Linked DNA regions of Tamandua tetradactyla. The protein of the gene in region 1 purifies or fractionates together with the protein of each later gene. This does not show direct contact. Links are inferred from orthologs where the notes say so. Each region holds a gene or a part of one and is shown on either strand. Other genes may lie near its edges.

Region 1 (7,813 bases):
GAGAAGTATTCTTAAAGTTGGATTCCAGACTAGTAACTGAAACTAGATTCTGAATAAAGCTACAGCTAGGATACAGCTGTTTATGCTTTTCAATAGCACTGTCTCCTTGTTTCCAGTTATCCAGCATCAGGCCACAACAGAAGCATTTGACCTTGTCATTCACACCAGTGTAATAAAAACCAGCACGAGCAAGGCTCCTTTCTGAAATAGGAACACCGGTGGGGAAAGTTGAATATGTAGACATTCGGTAGAGTTCACATGAAAAGTCGTATTTCATTTTTTGTTTGTTGTCATTTGTCCAATTTGTCAAGATTGTGCTATCTTCCATTTTACTCACAAATTTTTGATGAGAGGGACCTGGGTCAAGTCTTTGGGAGGTAGTTTTGTGCATGAGTAGGTGCTTTTACTTTTTGATGGCTAAAAGCCTTCACATGAATTTTTCTCTTCAGACTAGATTTTTATCACAAAAAGGAAACAAATTATAGCTTACTTATCTAGAATTCACTAAACCTTCTTTACTGAATTTACACCTGATTACACACTCAAAATGACTATCTCTCCTAGGTTGTACCAAGATGCAACCTTAATATTTTGAGGGATTATGTTAACTTTTTTAGGTCACCCAAGTGCTATTTACCTATAATTTAGTGTAATACTAACTTAATAGCCTGACAGAATTGATGTACCTCTGAAAATATGTTAAAACCCCCCTGATTTTTAAAAGAGGCTTATGTTACCAAATTCCAAGCCACTTAAACTGTGCCTTTAATTTACTTTTGGTTACAAGCTACAATGCCTGGATATCAGGCCAATTACTGATTATGCTAAAAGACAGGGGAAAATGATATGCATCAGGCTTCTTTTCCTATAAGCACTTAAGTAAGGTACTAAAAAAAAACCTTGTTCTATTCTAGTAAACAAAAATAATTGAAGTCTTCATATAGCCATATTATCTAAAGACTAATTTCACAAAGCTTATATTCACAGCATAACCCATAATACGTAAGTGGGTTTTGTAAGCTTCAGTTAATAACTTTTAGGGAAGCCAACACTCACAAGCTTTGTTGAACCTAAGCTTATAATGGTGTATCATATCAAATGAAATAAATTTTGCGTAGAGCTCACAAACTGTTAATTATTCCATATTTCTATACTTGATTCCTCTTCCTATAGCATCATTATTATTTCTTACTAACTTTGCATACCACTTTATTATACTTTACCAACTAAAATTATCTGAAGGTATATCGCCAAAAAAAATTAACCATAAAATTTCAACAGCAGAAACTTCTCACATTTCCTGTCTTTGTAAAAACTAAATTATCTATCTTTCCTTTAAGAATCATGCATCTCTATCATTCATTTTGTAAATAACCAATCAATTCATCAAAAGTCACAGTTTGTCTTTTCCGGTATCATGACAAATGCTAACAGAAATATTGTATTACCAACAGACTAGCCTTTCTGTTTTTAAACATAATTCATACACAAAATTATACTCCACAAAACTCAAACTATATCCCTTTTTATAGTGTCTGAGTTTCCATAATGGGATTTATTATTGCCGGGGGCGGGGTTGAGGGAAGTAGATTCTTCAAGGTTGTAAAATCTGAAAAGAAAATACAAAAGCTATTTTAGAAAATTTTAGTTTTATTGAAAAGAGAATCACAGAATTTATACTTTAGACAATACATCTTGAATCCAGCTATTTGTCACCAAAATGTTGTAACTGGAAAAGCTCATAAGTTAAATAAATGCAATATCCTCTCATTAGCACTTACATCTTTGAAAAATGTACAACTTTGACGCAGACGGACATTTCCACAAAGGGAAGTCTCCTCACCTTTTCTGGTAAAAACTTTTTAGTAGTTTAAGGATATCTCTGACAGTTTGTTGGTGAAAAAAACAGATAATGTTGAAAAAAGACTTTACTATACCCATCAGCAAGAACACAGAAGTTATTAGACAGTTATGTTATTTTTTAATGTCAAGTCTCTCCAGGACTAGGCAAATTGCCTAGTCTAGTAAGAGTAAAATGCATCAGGAGCTCATTATATAAAACTTAAACTCTACAACTCCTATAATTACAAAGCCACAACCACAGAAAACAAAACAGCACAATGGCCTGTGAAACAATGGCCTCGGGAATTGTGACCACTAACATGAATGCTTTTATTACACTAGATCTGATCGCATATTAAATTATAGATTTCTATCGACGAGCACTGTATTGATGATTTTACCATTTTATGCAAACTATAGACAGTCAGGAGTGGGGGTTGTGTGGGGTGCAGACCAGAAGGGAAAAACAGAGAAACTATGGGATTTAGTCATTAATTTTCCGGGGTTATTTTTCACAATAAACAATTGTCTACAGAAGGGCAGAGAGCAACTGTTAACTCTGAAATGTGAGATCTCGCCACCACAGGGCCGTCTTCGTTTAAATATTTTAAATTTAAGGAATACCGAAAGCTAAGTTTAAAACCTTGCAAAACCTCTGAGAGAAAACAACTTGGCCAAACACCAAGGGCTGAAAAAATGGGCGGTGGCCAGAGTCTGCGTGAAAACAACTCAATTTTTTTAAACCACTTTCGATTGCATGCCTTGAAGCTAGGGCTTCCGAATTAAATGAAAACCGTGTCAAAGGCAGAAAGCAGAGCTCACTGCGACCCGCAACCCTCAGCTAAGAGCCCCCAGGCCTCGGCCTTCCTCGCACCTCCGCACTTCAGAGAAGTGGCTCCCTGCTAGCCGGAATGCCCCAAGCCGCCTCCCGCGAACCCGCGCCGCCAGGGCCGTCAAAGAGTTGCACTCACCGTGATGCCGGCGCAACTAGACGGAAGCGATGCTGCGGCGGCGCCAAGGCTGCTTAGAGGCCTCCTCAGGCTCTGGCAGCTGCAGCGCAGATAGCAGCCAGGCCAAGCCAGACCAGGCAGGGCTCGCGTCCTGCGCTCCTAAAACCGCCCCCCACCCCCCGGGCCCTGGAGGGCTTACGCCAACGCACGGTGACGTCAGCGCGCCCGGCTCGCGTCAACCGCCTCCCGACCGCGGAGGGGTCTGCTGCAAAAAGCCTGACGCCGAAGAGCAGGCGGCGCTGGAAGTTTTCAGACTAGCCGAGCTTCAGGGAGAGACGCAGAGAGACAGCGAAGCCGGCGTGGTAGTCCACCTGGAGCTGCGCGCTCAGCCCACGGCGTGAGGTGGGACTATCCACATTAATTAGGTGTTTTGCTTTTTCATCTCGTGGCTTGGCCACTTTTAACGCTTCCCTCTCCCTGTCCCTAACAACCTTCTGAGGAGGACGAGGCACTTTTTCGTGTTCCGTTGCGTTTGAGTCTCGGGAAACCCTGCGCCAACGCCATTGCGCCGGTGATTTTGTGCCTCTTCTTCCATGTCACCTCAGGAGTTATGATCCAGCCAGTGGCGAAATTGCCTTAGTCTGACGCCTCCACTCGTAGATGACTGTATTTGGAAATGGAGTCTAGTGTCTTTTTTTTCGTCCGGTAACCGTGTAAATTGAAACCAGCCAAGTGTTGGAAAATTGAACTGCATCAAAAGGTTAATTTTGAACACTTGATGTGTTTATAATCGACGAGTGTAACTTTTGTTTTTAAAACTTTGGCTTTCTGTTCTGGAGACATATGCGTTAAAGAGAAAGTGCCCTTCAGATGCCCATCGCTAGCAGCGAACAGTATTTTAGACCAATCTTAACTCCCAAATTTCTCTCAATGTTTGAATAAAATGGTATTTATGCATACACATATATGTACATGTGTATATGTGTGTACGTGTGTGTATGGTGTATGCGAACCGGTGCGGAACCCCTTTATAAAATGTGTAAATAGTTAAGTGATAGACGAAATGCAAAATCTTGGTCTTACTAGGCATGGACATTTTTTCACTTGCTCCCTAATAATTCCAGGAACACAGTGGCAGACAGTAAATATTTGTCATATTGCAATGACCCAATTTTTAAAAAATTTATAATCTCAAGACGTTTGTCAATTAATTCAGATGCTTTCTTCTTTCAGGGGAACTCCAAGGACAAGTATTTCAAAAACTTACAACTAAGTCTCTTAATTATGTAAGCAGGGGAATTCCAAGACCCTGAACCATTTCCCATTTCCTGCACATGTCATTTCTGCCTGCCATTCATAGAACATGTCTCTGTCCCAATGTTAACAATAAAAAGAAAGAATTTGTAACCATTCATGGATGTGGAAAAAAGAAATGCTATGACTCTCAGTGACCAAATGTTTTCAAAATGCGCATGGTTTTTGCTAATATTTGGGTATTTGCTCTAAGTCATTATTTCTGGGATGTTCAGAAACATTCCTCTTATCTGTGGGGAAATATGTAATCTAGAAAGTATACATAGCAAGAATTTTTCATTGTGAATTCAAGTCTATTTCTCTTTTTTTAGTTCTTGTCCTGACCAAAAAAAGTAAAATATGAATATTCTCAGTTTAGGGGAAATTTTTTTTTTTTTTTTTTTTTTAAGGAAAGACAGAGAGAAGGAAGGAAGGATAGAAGGAAGGAAGGAAGGAAGAAAGGGAAACATTTTTAAACATTTTCTTGTTTTATTGTATTCTGTTTCTCCGTTTTTGTTACATGGGCTGGGGCCGGGAATCGAACCGAGGTCCTCCGGCATAGCAGGCAAGCACTTTGCCCGCTGAGCCACCGCAGCCCGCCCAGTTTAGGGGAAATTTTAAATCTCAAAGCTCAAAAGCCATAAATATTTTTCCTTAAAAAAAAGTATGTAATATCATTCAGGTGTAATAAATACAACTTTTAATCTTGTATGACATTGTGATCTAGTATTACTAGCTGTTTATCCATTTATCAGTTAATTTTTTTCGTATTTCCAGTGTACAATAGCTAGTGATTTTTAAAAATAGGCTGTATAAATCTGCTGCTTTTGCATTCATAATATTTATTGCATTTACGTAGAGAAACTTATGTATAGGATCCAAGACAATTTTGAAGAAGAATGAAGTTGAAGAAACTTGCCCTACCAGATACCAAGTTATATAATAAAGCATAATAATTAAGACCATCTTAGATTAGCACAAAAATGGACAAATAGACAAAGGTACAGGTCAGAGAGCTAGAAAAATGTGCACATTTATGTGGGAATTGGATAGATGACAATAGTGTTCATATTAGTGAGAAAAGGATCAACAAGTCACTAAATAATGTTGAATTGAATGATTACTCTAATGGAATATAATATTAAATCATGACCTTACACTATTAAAAAAAATTCCTGGTGAACAGCTATCTCATGAACTCAGAGATGTAAATGTATTTGGTGAGTTGTAATTCATTGCAGCTATCATCATTATTTTCAAATTGTTTTATCTTATGCTAGTAGGAGCTTATTCATTTTTTTTTTTTTTTTGGAGTTCATGGGCCAGAAGTTATACTGGCTTTTAAGTCCTTTCCATACAGCAGTAGTAGTCTTTGCTCTCCATGCTCATCTTGTACATTTTATCCCATCCCATGATAAGCTTTCCAAGGTGCCCTGGTTCCTTTAATGGGAAATGGTATTTAAGGACCATAATTTCACATTGTGTTTATCCATTCATCTGCTTCTGGACATTCAGGTTGCTCCCATCTTTTGGCTATTGTGAATAACACTGCTGTGAACATTGGTGTACAAATATCTCTCCAATATATAGATTCCCTACTTTTAGTTCTTTTGGGTATAGACACCTAGAAGTGGAATTGTCATATCATATGGTGGTTTTATGTTTAACTTTCTTAAGAAGCATGAGTAAACAGTACATAGTAATGTTTGTCTGATGCATATGTTAATATTTAGAGAAATAAGACAAAACTGAGGAAAAGTGATGAAAAGCATTAAGTTGATAGGCTGCATTTGAATTCAGCAGACCCAGGCCTAAAAACTCAATAGTAACAAGAGACTGATTCGTTCAACATTTGTTTTTTTTTTTTAGACATTCATATATCTTTCAGTAGCATGTTACAACTTACTCTCCTGAATGAATGGACATTCAGATTGTTCTAATATTTTGTCATAATGCTGCAATAATCATTCTTGTGTTTCCTTTTGCACATATGGAAGAGTTTCTCTCAATACCTAAATGTGGAATTGCCATGTCTAATGGCGTGCATCTCTTCAAGTCTTCTAGATCTTAACAAATTACTCTCTGGAGTGGTTACTCTCCTATCAGTAGTGCCACTATTCTTCATCCTTGTCACTTTTAGTATTGTGACTTAATTTTTGCCAATGTGATATTTGAAATGTTTGTATTTTGTTTCCATTTGCATGTTTCTGATACCTAGTGAGATTGAACATTCTTAAATAAGTTTATTAGTCATTTAGTTTTGTTCTGCAAATTGCTTTTCACCACCTTTGCCCATTTCATTTTCTTTTTTTTTTTTTGTCATATTCATTTGTAGAAGTTCTTTAGAAAAATTCTCTATCCAAATCTTTTGTTGGTTATATATATTGTAAATATCTTCTTCAAGTCTGTGGCTTGTCTTTTCATGTTAATTATTTCCTTCAGTGAACTGTATATTTTATTCTTTTAAAGTTTTTATTTCCAAATAATTTCTAAGTTGCAAGGTAGTTGAAAAAATAACACAAAACCCATACAGAAACTCCAACATACCTACCACCTATATACCCAGATCCACTAGTTTTAACATTTTTCTGTCTATCACTCTGTGTCTTTATCTATCTATCTACCTACTTGATCTATGTTTATCTTTCTATCTATGTCTATTAGTTTTCTAAACATTTGAAGGTAGGTTGTACGTAATACTTCCATGCACATTTCCTAAGAACAAAGATGTTGGCCTATATAACCACCTTAAATATAGTTATCAAGTTCAAGCTTTTGGTCTGTGTGTTAGGGTTCTCTAGAGACAACCAACAGGAGAAATCTGTAAATATGAGATTTATGAAGGTGTCTCACACAACCATGGGAATGGAAGAGTCCAAAATCTGTAGGGTGGGCTGTGACGCTGGCTGCTCCAATGAAGGTCTGGACAAAGCCCACAGAAGGGGCTTGCTGGCTGAACAAGCAGTGAAAGAGTCCCTCCTCTTCCTTAAAACCTCCCAACTGATTGCATTATCTCCTTATGGGAAACTTGCCTTAGTTGGTCATAGATGTAATCACCACAGATATAGTCAACTGACTGATGATTTAATATACTAGCCTTCTGGTTTATCAACCAGCCATGAAATATCCTTTTAGCTATGGTCAGGCCAGTGTTTGTCTGACCGGACAACTGTATACCATCACTTAGCCAAGTTGACACCAGAACCTAATCATCACATTCCTCCCCTTGTCAACTTGGCAGCTAACACATCACTTTGAAACAAGGTTAATTTCCAAATGAACACAAGAACAGACATATGTTTCATCTAACAATATTCAACTGTCCTGCGAACAACCGAAAGTGCACTACATCTCCCCAAAATAGGGTACAAGTCATTAGGTAACATTCACTCTAAACTTCATATCCTGTGACTTAAATACTATAAGATGAACAATACAACTTCTGTCATATGATAAGAGGAAAACAAGATATTTATGTACAAATACAAACATATTCATAATAAAACAAGGAAATATTCATACAATCACAGTCCTCATTTCTTTAGCTAGTCACATGGTCATAGTTCATATTTATCACTACCTTCTGCGCATTCCTTGTTCCTTTACCCTCAGCAAGCACTTCAGCTGGCTATGTTCTTTGCTAGGTGAGGTGACCCAGACTTGTATTCCTGAAGTTTCTGGGCCATTGGTAATCCTACCTGGGTTGTTGGAGTTTTCCATTGACTTTA
Region 2 (7,576 bases), on another chromosome or scaffold:
AACTGCCATTTTTGCTTTGATAGGAAAGGCCACAAAAAATAAAGGCACAGGCAGAGGCATAGCACTCTGAAAGTAGGTGGAAGGCAGGGGGTACAGTCCTCGTTAAGCCGTGCTCCCCTGTCCCTAGCTACTTGCCCTGAGAGCAGATGGAAACAAGGTGTGCTGACCAGTGAGGCAAGCCCTAGGGCCTGAGAGCTGCTGCCAGGGTTTCTGCTTGAATTCAGAGTACCCTTCCCTTTTCACTTGTACCCCTAGGTGTGACAAGAACCTGTTCACTGTCAACCAATTGCCTTGACCGTTCATTTATTAAGATTTCGACCCAAACCGGCGAGCAGGTGCAGGAGGCCATTTCTCTGCAACTCCGTCACGGGCTTCCTTCCCCCTCGGCGCTGGGGGAACTTGGTGGCTCTTTGCACAGAACAACTTGCCACTGCCCTCCGCAGAGCCTGTTCCCTGCCACTTGTGTGTTTCTGATCAGGAATCAGGAGTCAAAAGGGAGGAGGCAGGCAAGCCAAAAACCAGGGCAAGAGGCAGTGGGAGGGAGAAGGGCTCCACCGATGGGAAGTGAAAGGCAAGGGAGGGCCGCCCCAGGTGCTCTCCTCTGACTCCCTGTCACCCCAGGAGCTTGGGCGGGGTTGGGGCTCTGGCTTCTTAAAGGAGCCACACCTCCTTAACACTGGGGCTTGCAAACATTAGCCCCTTAGTCAAAGAGACAGGTTCAGGGAGAAAGTAACTTGGCATTCTTTCTCCTCATCCCCTGCCCCCATACTGGCTTGGTGACACGGATGCCCCAGTAGAGCTCCCAGGTTCCAGACACCAGCTGAGGGCCCCTCGAGAGCGTCCTGGGGCTTGTCCAGGCCCTCAACCCTGTGACGTCTCAGTGAGAGCACTCAAACCTGCCACATGGCCTGGGGCCAGCAGTGTTCCCTGCTCGAACCGCAGCATCTCCGGGGAGTCGAGGAAGGCTTTTGAAATAAGCACCAAGGGTCCCCGGACCCCACCGAGCTAGTTTTGTGACTCCCACGACCAGCCTGGCATTGCACAACTCTGACTCGAGCCATCAGTCAGGTTCCCTTTGTTCTCCCCAGCCCTGGGAAGGGTACGGGGTCCTCCTAGGAGCCTATGCTCTTTCTCTCTCAGAACAGGATGGGCGGGACTCTCCCTTAAAGCATCGGTGCTCAGGCAGCACCTAGAACAGCTCCCACCCCTGGGCGTTCTCCACTCCTCCCTCTGCAGTGGTGCTGGGAGCCGGTTCTCCTGCAACCCACAACCCTAGGCAAGCAGCACTTCTCTGCTCATTCATCCCGCCAGTGGCCTCCCACTGAGTGCATCTTCTGTACCCAGCATTGTGTGCCCTGAGGACAGGCAAGGGCACAGGCTAAACCTCAAGTCAAGAACAAGCTGCAAGGGATGGCTGGTGGCTGCCAGGCACCCTGGGGGCCGGCGACATGGCCAAGAGCTTCCCCTTCCACCTCCCTTGCCCCCACTTACCCAACGCTTACCCAGCTTCCTTCCTAGAAACTGCCTGACTTCGGCTCATGAGTTACAAAATGGGCTTCGAGCCACTTGCTGTTCCCCCTTCGAGTGGCCACTTCCCCCCTTCTCAGGACTGCCTTCCCCATCCCCACCCCAATCCAATGTGAGAGTAGAGAGGCTAAATGTCCCAGTGGCAGGGATTCTGGTCTAGAAAGCTCTAGAATAGAAGAAGCTTATTTCTCCTTATGGACCCACATGGGGGAAAGAACCCTGGACCTTGAAGGCTATGTCTTCCCCCAACTAGTAACATTAATCAAGGCTGAAGAGCACCTCCTTTCCCATTAGAGGGGACCTCCTCAAATTGAGGGGGGTGGGGCACGGAGTAATAGGAGAGGGGGAGAATAGGATGGGCAAGTTCAACTCCTCCACAAGCTCCTCACGTCTCTGGGCCTCAGTTTCCCCACTTGGATCCCAAGGGCTCAGGACTGAATGGGTGCCCATGACCCAGCCCACTCTGGCCCCGGGAGAGATGGCCCTGGCAACCCCAGCCCCACCCTTTCCTCGGAACATTTCTGGGCCAGTCCCCCCCACACACACACATTGGGCCGATAAAATTCTTGCTGTGTCACGATGATGTTGGCACGCCCCCAAAGGCCTGTGATTCACGAGCCCCAGGGTGGCACTTTCCTTGCCAGCCCCCAGGTTCTCACTCCCTGGTGATCAGGAGCCAGCTGGGCCTGAGCCAAGGCCCCACCCCACAGTGCTGGGCTCTTTCCTGACCTGCATGACCCAAAGAGGGAAGGGGTCATGGGTCTCAGCAGGCAGCCGCTCTCTGGGGCTCTTAGCTGCCACACTCTGGGCCCTGAACCCCTAATACTAGAGAGATATCTGCAGTGGTTTGGGTCAACTATCTTAGGTTCTTCCACAGGAAGCTGAGGCCAAGTCTCAGGCAGAGTCTTGAACAGTGACCAAAGGGGGCCAAGGTCCCTTTGCCCCAGTCTGGCCAGATAACATGTGGCCTGACATCCTAATCACTTCTAGTCCTCCCATGAACTTACCACATGGCCTTGGGCATATCCTGCCCCCGCCCCATGGTCCTTAGGCAAAATGAGAGGATTGGGAAAGATGGGGAGCTCCCGCCCTCCTCTCACCATGGACCCTTCAATTAACCCCAACCCCCACATGTGGCTGCGGTTAGAAAGATTTTATCAACCAAGCCGTGAGATTTCCTAACATCTTCCCGTGTCTGACCCTCCAAAAGGATCCCGAGAGAGTCAGCGCAGGACAGCGCGGAGGGCCTGACACCCCCAAGCCTGGGCTGGGGAGAGCAGCTTGGCCCCTGTATCCCCTGGCCAGGAGGGGGGTATGGGTCTGCCTGGGCCACCCCCCACTGCCGTCGCCGCCACCACCAGCACCTCCTCATCCTACCTCTCCTCTGTTGGGTGACTGCAGACAAGCAGGGTGTGGGTTGGAGGGGCTGAAGCCGAAACAAGGCAAGCAGGTTCTATCACTAGTTAATCCCAAAGGGAACAGCAAGAACAAACAGCTCGGGGTGTGGGGCGGGCTATGACTCAGCAGGCAATAGCCCAGGCTCTTCTGATTTCTCCCAACCTATTGGAATTTAATCATAAGCAAACAAGACTCACAGTGAGTAAGGCTTAGAAATGATTGTAGACCATGGTTCACAGTGCTGGTTCCCAGTGGGCTGGTCCTTTCTGAACTGGGGGTGGGGGGACAACCCTAAGCCCCCGTGATAGGAGTAGATGCCCCCCAGCAGCAGACACTGCCAGTGCGTCCTGAGGAGCACCCCAGCGGGTGCTGGGGGACACAGAGAGGATGGCGGTGCAAGGACAGCCCCTGATGTGCTGGGTGGAGGTGCCCCCAGAGGTGCAAGTCCAAGGGCCACCCAGCAGGCCCAAAGCAGGCCACCTACTTTGGCCACAGTGGACCACCATGAGGGCAGGCAATGGGCAAGAAGGTCTGACGGGGGCATCCTAACCCATCTCGTGCCTGAAGACAGGGTAGAAAGAGTGAGTAGTTGGCAGGTGTGGCGGAGGCACAGTGTGGAAACTTCCCCACCAGGAGAACCCCCCAAGCACCTTTCCACCAATCTCGGGCAGGGCAGGGTAGGCGGGATTTTAACAGGGTTGGAATTCTTTTGATTTCGGTCCTACATCTTGCAACCGTCCCAGAGACGTAGACTCATCAAACCATGACCCAGCCAGGTCATTATTTTAATTTGGGGGTCTAGGGTGACTTTTAACTTTTTAAAAGCCTCTGGTGGGGGTGCAGGAGAAATGAGTTGGCACTTAGCCTCTCCACAGGCAATGCTGGGCTGAGGCGGGGAGTGTCATTACACCTGCCTTCTAGAACATTCCTTTGAGCTCAGAGAGGATCAGATAGCTCAGGCCAGATACATCTCCCAAATCGCCTCAAAGCCTGGAAAAGAAAAGTTGTTTCCACAATAGCCTGTTAGATAGGGTGTTTGGTTCATTTAAAATCAGATAGGTCTTTGCAGGGAAGCTTCAAAGCTTAATTTTGCTTTTCATAGTCAGGACCTTAATCCCAGGAGTCTGTTCTTTGGTCTGGTAAGAGTCAAGATGCAAGTTCTGGTAATCATTGTCAGTTCCCCTGCACTGCTTAGAATATTCTCTCCCCAGTGACTAGAAGCACTCCAAAGGAGCGTGGGTTTCTCACCCCCACGCAATCCCCACGCTCTCTTAATTACAGCTTTGGCAGATGAAAGAACATGCTCCCTCTACTTAGTTCTCCTCTGGGAAGAACCTTGCTAAACTCTCTTTAATTCTGTGAATTAATCAGCGGGTTGCCGGGAGTTTCTGTTTTTTCACTTGGGTAGACTTTCACCCACAAATCAAGGCCAGTTTGGCTTCTCCTTTCCAATCCCTATACCTTTTCCATTTTTTTGCCTTACTGCACGGGCTAGGACCACAAGTTCATCATTGACAAGAAGAGCCAATAGTGGGCATTCTTTTCTAGTTCCCAGTTTCTTAAAAGAAAATATTTCAACATTTCCACGTTATGTATGACATCCATAGGTTGTTGTTTTTTGTTTTTTGTTTTTTTAACCGGTTAAGGAAATTTCCTTTTTTTTCCTAATTTAAAAGAGCTTTTATCATGACTGGATATTTAATTGTCTGGAGCACTTTTTCTACATCTGTTGAGTTTAGCAACGTTGCTAGTTTAAAAAAACATCAACCTATAGAGCAGGCAAAGATTTTTTCTAGTGTTTTCTTTTCTCCTTTAATCTGTCAGTGGGGTGGTTTTCAAAGATTGATTTTTGTTTTCTTAATACCAAGCCAACGTATTTCCAAGATAACTTCCATTATTTCCAGGATAAACCCACCTTGGATTCTGATGTATTATATTTTTTAGCATTGCAGGATTGGGTCTGCTGATGTTTTCTTTGGCATTTTTGCATTTGCATCTGAGCATGTGAACGATGCTTTCAGTATCCAAGTTCTGCTGGCCACATAAAAAGATTGGGAGCCTTCTTTAGTTTCCTGGGGCTGAAGGTACAAAGTGGCACCAGCTTGCAGGGCTGGGGGGAGGGGATTCTTCAAACAACAGAAATAGATTCTCTCTCAATTCTGGAGGCTGCGAGTCTGAAATCCAGGTGTCAGCAGGGTGGTGCTTCCTCTAAAGGCTCTCTTGGTGGCACCCCAGTTCCACCGCTGTCTTCTCAGAGCTGTCTTCTCCCTCATGTCTTATCTGTCTCTTTGTCCATATTTTCCTCTTATTATAAGGACACCAGTCAGATTGGCTCCAGGCCAATCTGGCAGTCCAGTTTGCCCACATCTTCAAAGACCCAATTTCCAAATGAGGTCACGTTGGCAGGACCAGGCTTAGGACTTGAATTTGTATTTGGTGAGTGGGCACAGGCCCAACCCAGAGCAGTCTGCTCTCTGAGCCTCCCTCCCCTCAAAAGTCACATCCCTCCTGGGTGCCAAATACATGCACCCCATCCTGGCCTCCCATCAATGCTCAGTCCAAAAGTTTACCTTCTCAATTGTGTAAAGCGCTGACCTAAAATCGCCACCCTGTCCACAAACCTGTAAGACTTAAGAAAACAAGTTTCCAAAAATACAAGTGGTGGGTCAGGCAGATGATAGACATTCCCATTCAGAGACAGGGGAGCTGGAAGGAGGAGGAGGGGTCAGCAGCCGAAAGCAAGTTCACAGCCCCATAGGGCAAATTCGCTTCCATTACAAGGCCTGAGAGTCCTTGATGGCTCCGTGCTTTGCCCTCTGAGCCTGCTGTGGTCGCAGCCCACCCCCTCGGCCTCGGTGGCCCGGGAGTCACCCTTTCTTTATTTTGTCCCGTCTCTGTCCCTTTCACTCCAAGCTGGCTGTGTTTCTGCCAGTAGAAAATTCTCAAAAACTTTGTCGACCTTCCATGGAAGACCCACCTTTAGAAATGAGGGCTCTCTGCCCAGTTCCTTCCTGGATAACCCCACCTCAATCCCTGACTTGTGCCGAGGCCGTCGATAGGGTTGATAAGTCACCCCTCGATTGCTGCGTTAGATGGCCATGCAGCCGCCCCCTCAGTCCTGTCGCCACGGGACACTACCCAGCTGAGCTGAGATTTTCCAAATCTCCTTTCTGTTGGACGGTTCGGTCCCCGATTCATTTCTTTCATTTTCCCAGAAGCAGCCAGAAGTAAACCAGAGGTGCCGTCCCGGCTTTGCTTGGATAGCTCCTCAGCTAAACCATCGAAGTTCATGGCTTCCCGCTTCTACTCCCAACCCAACCCTATGACCCCATACAGTCAGGTTCTCTGCCACTTGAATGTCACGCCAGTCACTTCCTTCTAGAGCCTCACCAGAAGCATCTTAAATGCGCCTATCACTGCCAATACTCTCTGCATGGCGCTCTCATGTGTCATAGCCCTGAAGGCCAGAGGTCCAAAATCACAAGGCCCTGTTTCCAAACAATTCACGGGTCCAGGCATTAGAGCTCAAACATAGCTTTATGTGGTGTTGGTTTTTTGGGGGACGGGTGATGGCACAGTTCAACCTGCAACAGAGACTGCTCCCCTTCCTGTTTGCAGGAAGAGTCTGTTGCACACTGGTATTCTCTCTTCCTTGCTTTTTTTGGGCAGAGCCCATAGGTGAAACACACCCGGGCCCCGCCTCCTTCTCGGGGTCCATTTTGGTAGGTCAGAATTTTCTAGAAACTTATCCCTTTCAGTGGGGTTGCTGGGCGTGGCATAAGGCTGTTCATAAGCTCCTCTTCTGGGTTGCGTGTCAGTGGTTCTCTCCCCTTCTCCTTCCTGATCCTATTTACGTGTACCTTTTAAAAAGCCTTCTTGCTGCAGGGCTCGCTCTTCTGAGTCTTCCGTTTCAAGCACCACCTTTTGGTTCGGCCGATCTGATTTGGTGGTTTGTTTTCCATTTTCTTAATATTTTTTTCACCTTATCCCCTTCCTGGTCATCCGTGCATCTTTACAATTTAAACTTCGAAGGCCATGCCTCACGTATTTTGCTACCTGGTAGGTTTCTTGGCGCTCGTTTAGGGTCGCTCTTCTTTGTCTCAGCAGTTGATTGGGAGCATGGGGTCGCCTTTTGTTTGCTGGTGGCCCTTTGGTTTTGTCCGAGACAGCAGTGGGCTCGGGCGCAGGGGGGCACGCAGCCCCAGGGGCCAGCTCCATCCCTAACCTCGGGGCCCCTCTGGCTACAGATGGGGACGAGATAGATCCGCTTAGAGCTCCATGACGTCCAGGGCCGGGGTCAGAGGCGAGGGGGGACCCCTTTCCCGTCTCCAGCTGCCCTTAACCACGCTTGTTCCCTTTGACTCAGGGTGACCTGGCGAAGAAGAAGATCTACCCTACCATTTGGTGAGTGCGCCCCCCACCACCCCCTCTGCCCACCCCCAAGGCCTCCTCCCCCACCCCCAGCAGGCGGTTTGGGGTGGGGGGCACGCCCAGCCCGGTCCGCTCAGCCCTCCCCATGCTCCACTGGCAGGTGGCTCTTCCGCGATGGCCTTTTGCCCGAAGACACCTTCATCGTGGGCTTTGCCCGCTCAGCCCTCACGGTGGCCGACCTCCGCAGACAGAGCGAGCCCTTCTTCAAAGTGAGTGGCTC

What was found. The genes of interacting proteins can lie anywhere in the genome.
Region 2: the proteins of BIRC2 (region 1) and IKBKG purify together in Homo sapiens (affinity purification with western blotting; 6 studies listed by BioGRID and IntAct, with this or other methods). This does not show direct contact. The link is inferred for Tamandua tetradactyla from reciprocal best matches to the Homo sapiens genes BIRC2 and IKBKG.

Annotation. Positions count from the first base shown.
Region 1 is NC_135334.1:40,475,061-40,482,873, forward strand, and holds the start of BIRC2 (baculoviral IAP repeat-containing protein 2), read right to left. Parts: upstream 2,843-7,813; 5' UTR 2,814-2,842; exon of another isoform or gene 2,561-2,813; intron 1,610-2,560; 5' UTR 392-1,609; coding exon 1-391. Other genes in the region: uncharacterized protein LOC143644315, read left to right, coding at 2,843-3,193. UniProt on the Homo sapiens protein: Multi-functional protein which regulates not only caspases and apoptosis, but also modulates inflammatory signaling and immunity, mitogenic kinase signaling, and cell proliferation, as well as cell invasion and metastasis.
Region 2 is NC_135353.1:6,923,684-6,931,259, reverse strand, and holds the start of IKBKG (NF-kappa-B essential modulator), read right to left. Parts: upstream 3,019-7,576; 5' UTR 2,905-3,018; intron 1-2,904. Other genes in the region: G6PD (glucose-6-phosphate 1-dehydrogenase), read left to right, coding at 7,292-7,329, 7,457-7,565. UniProt on the Homo sapiens protein: Regulatory subunit of the IKK core complex which phosphorylates inhibitors of NF-kappa-B thus leading to the dissociation of the inhibitor/NF-kappa-B complex and ultimately the degradation of the inhibitor.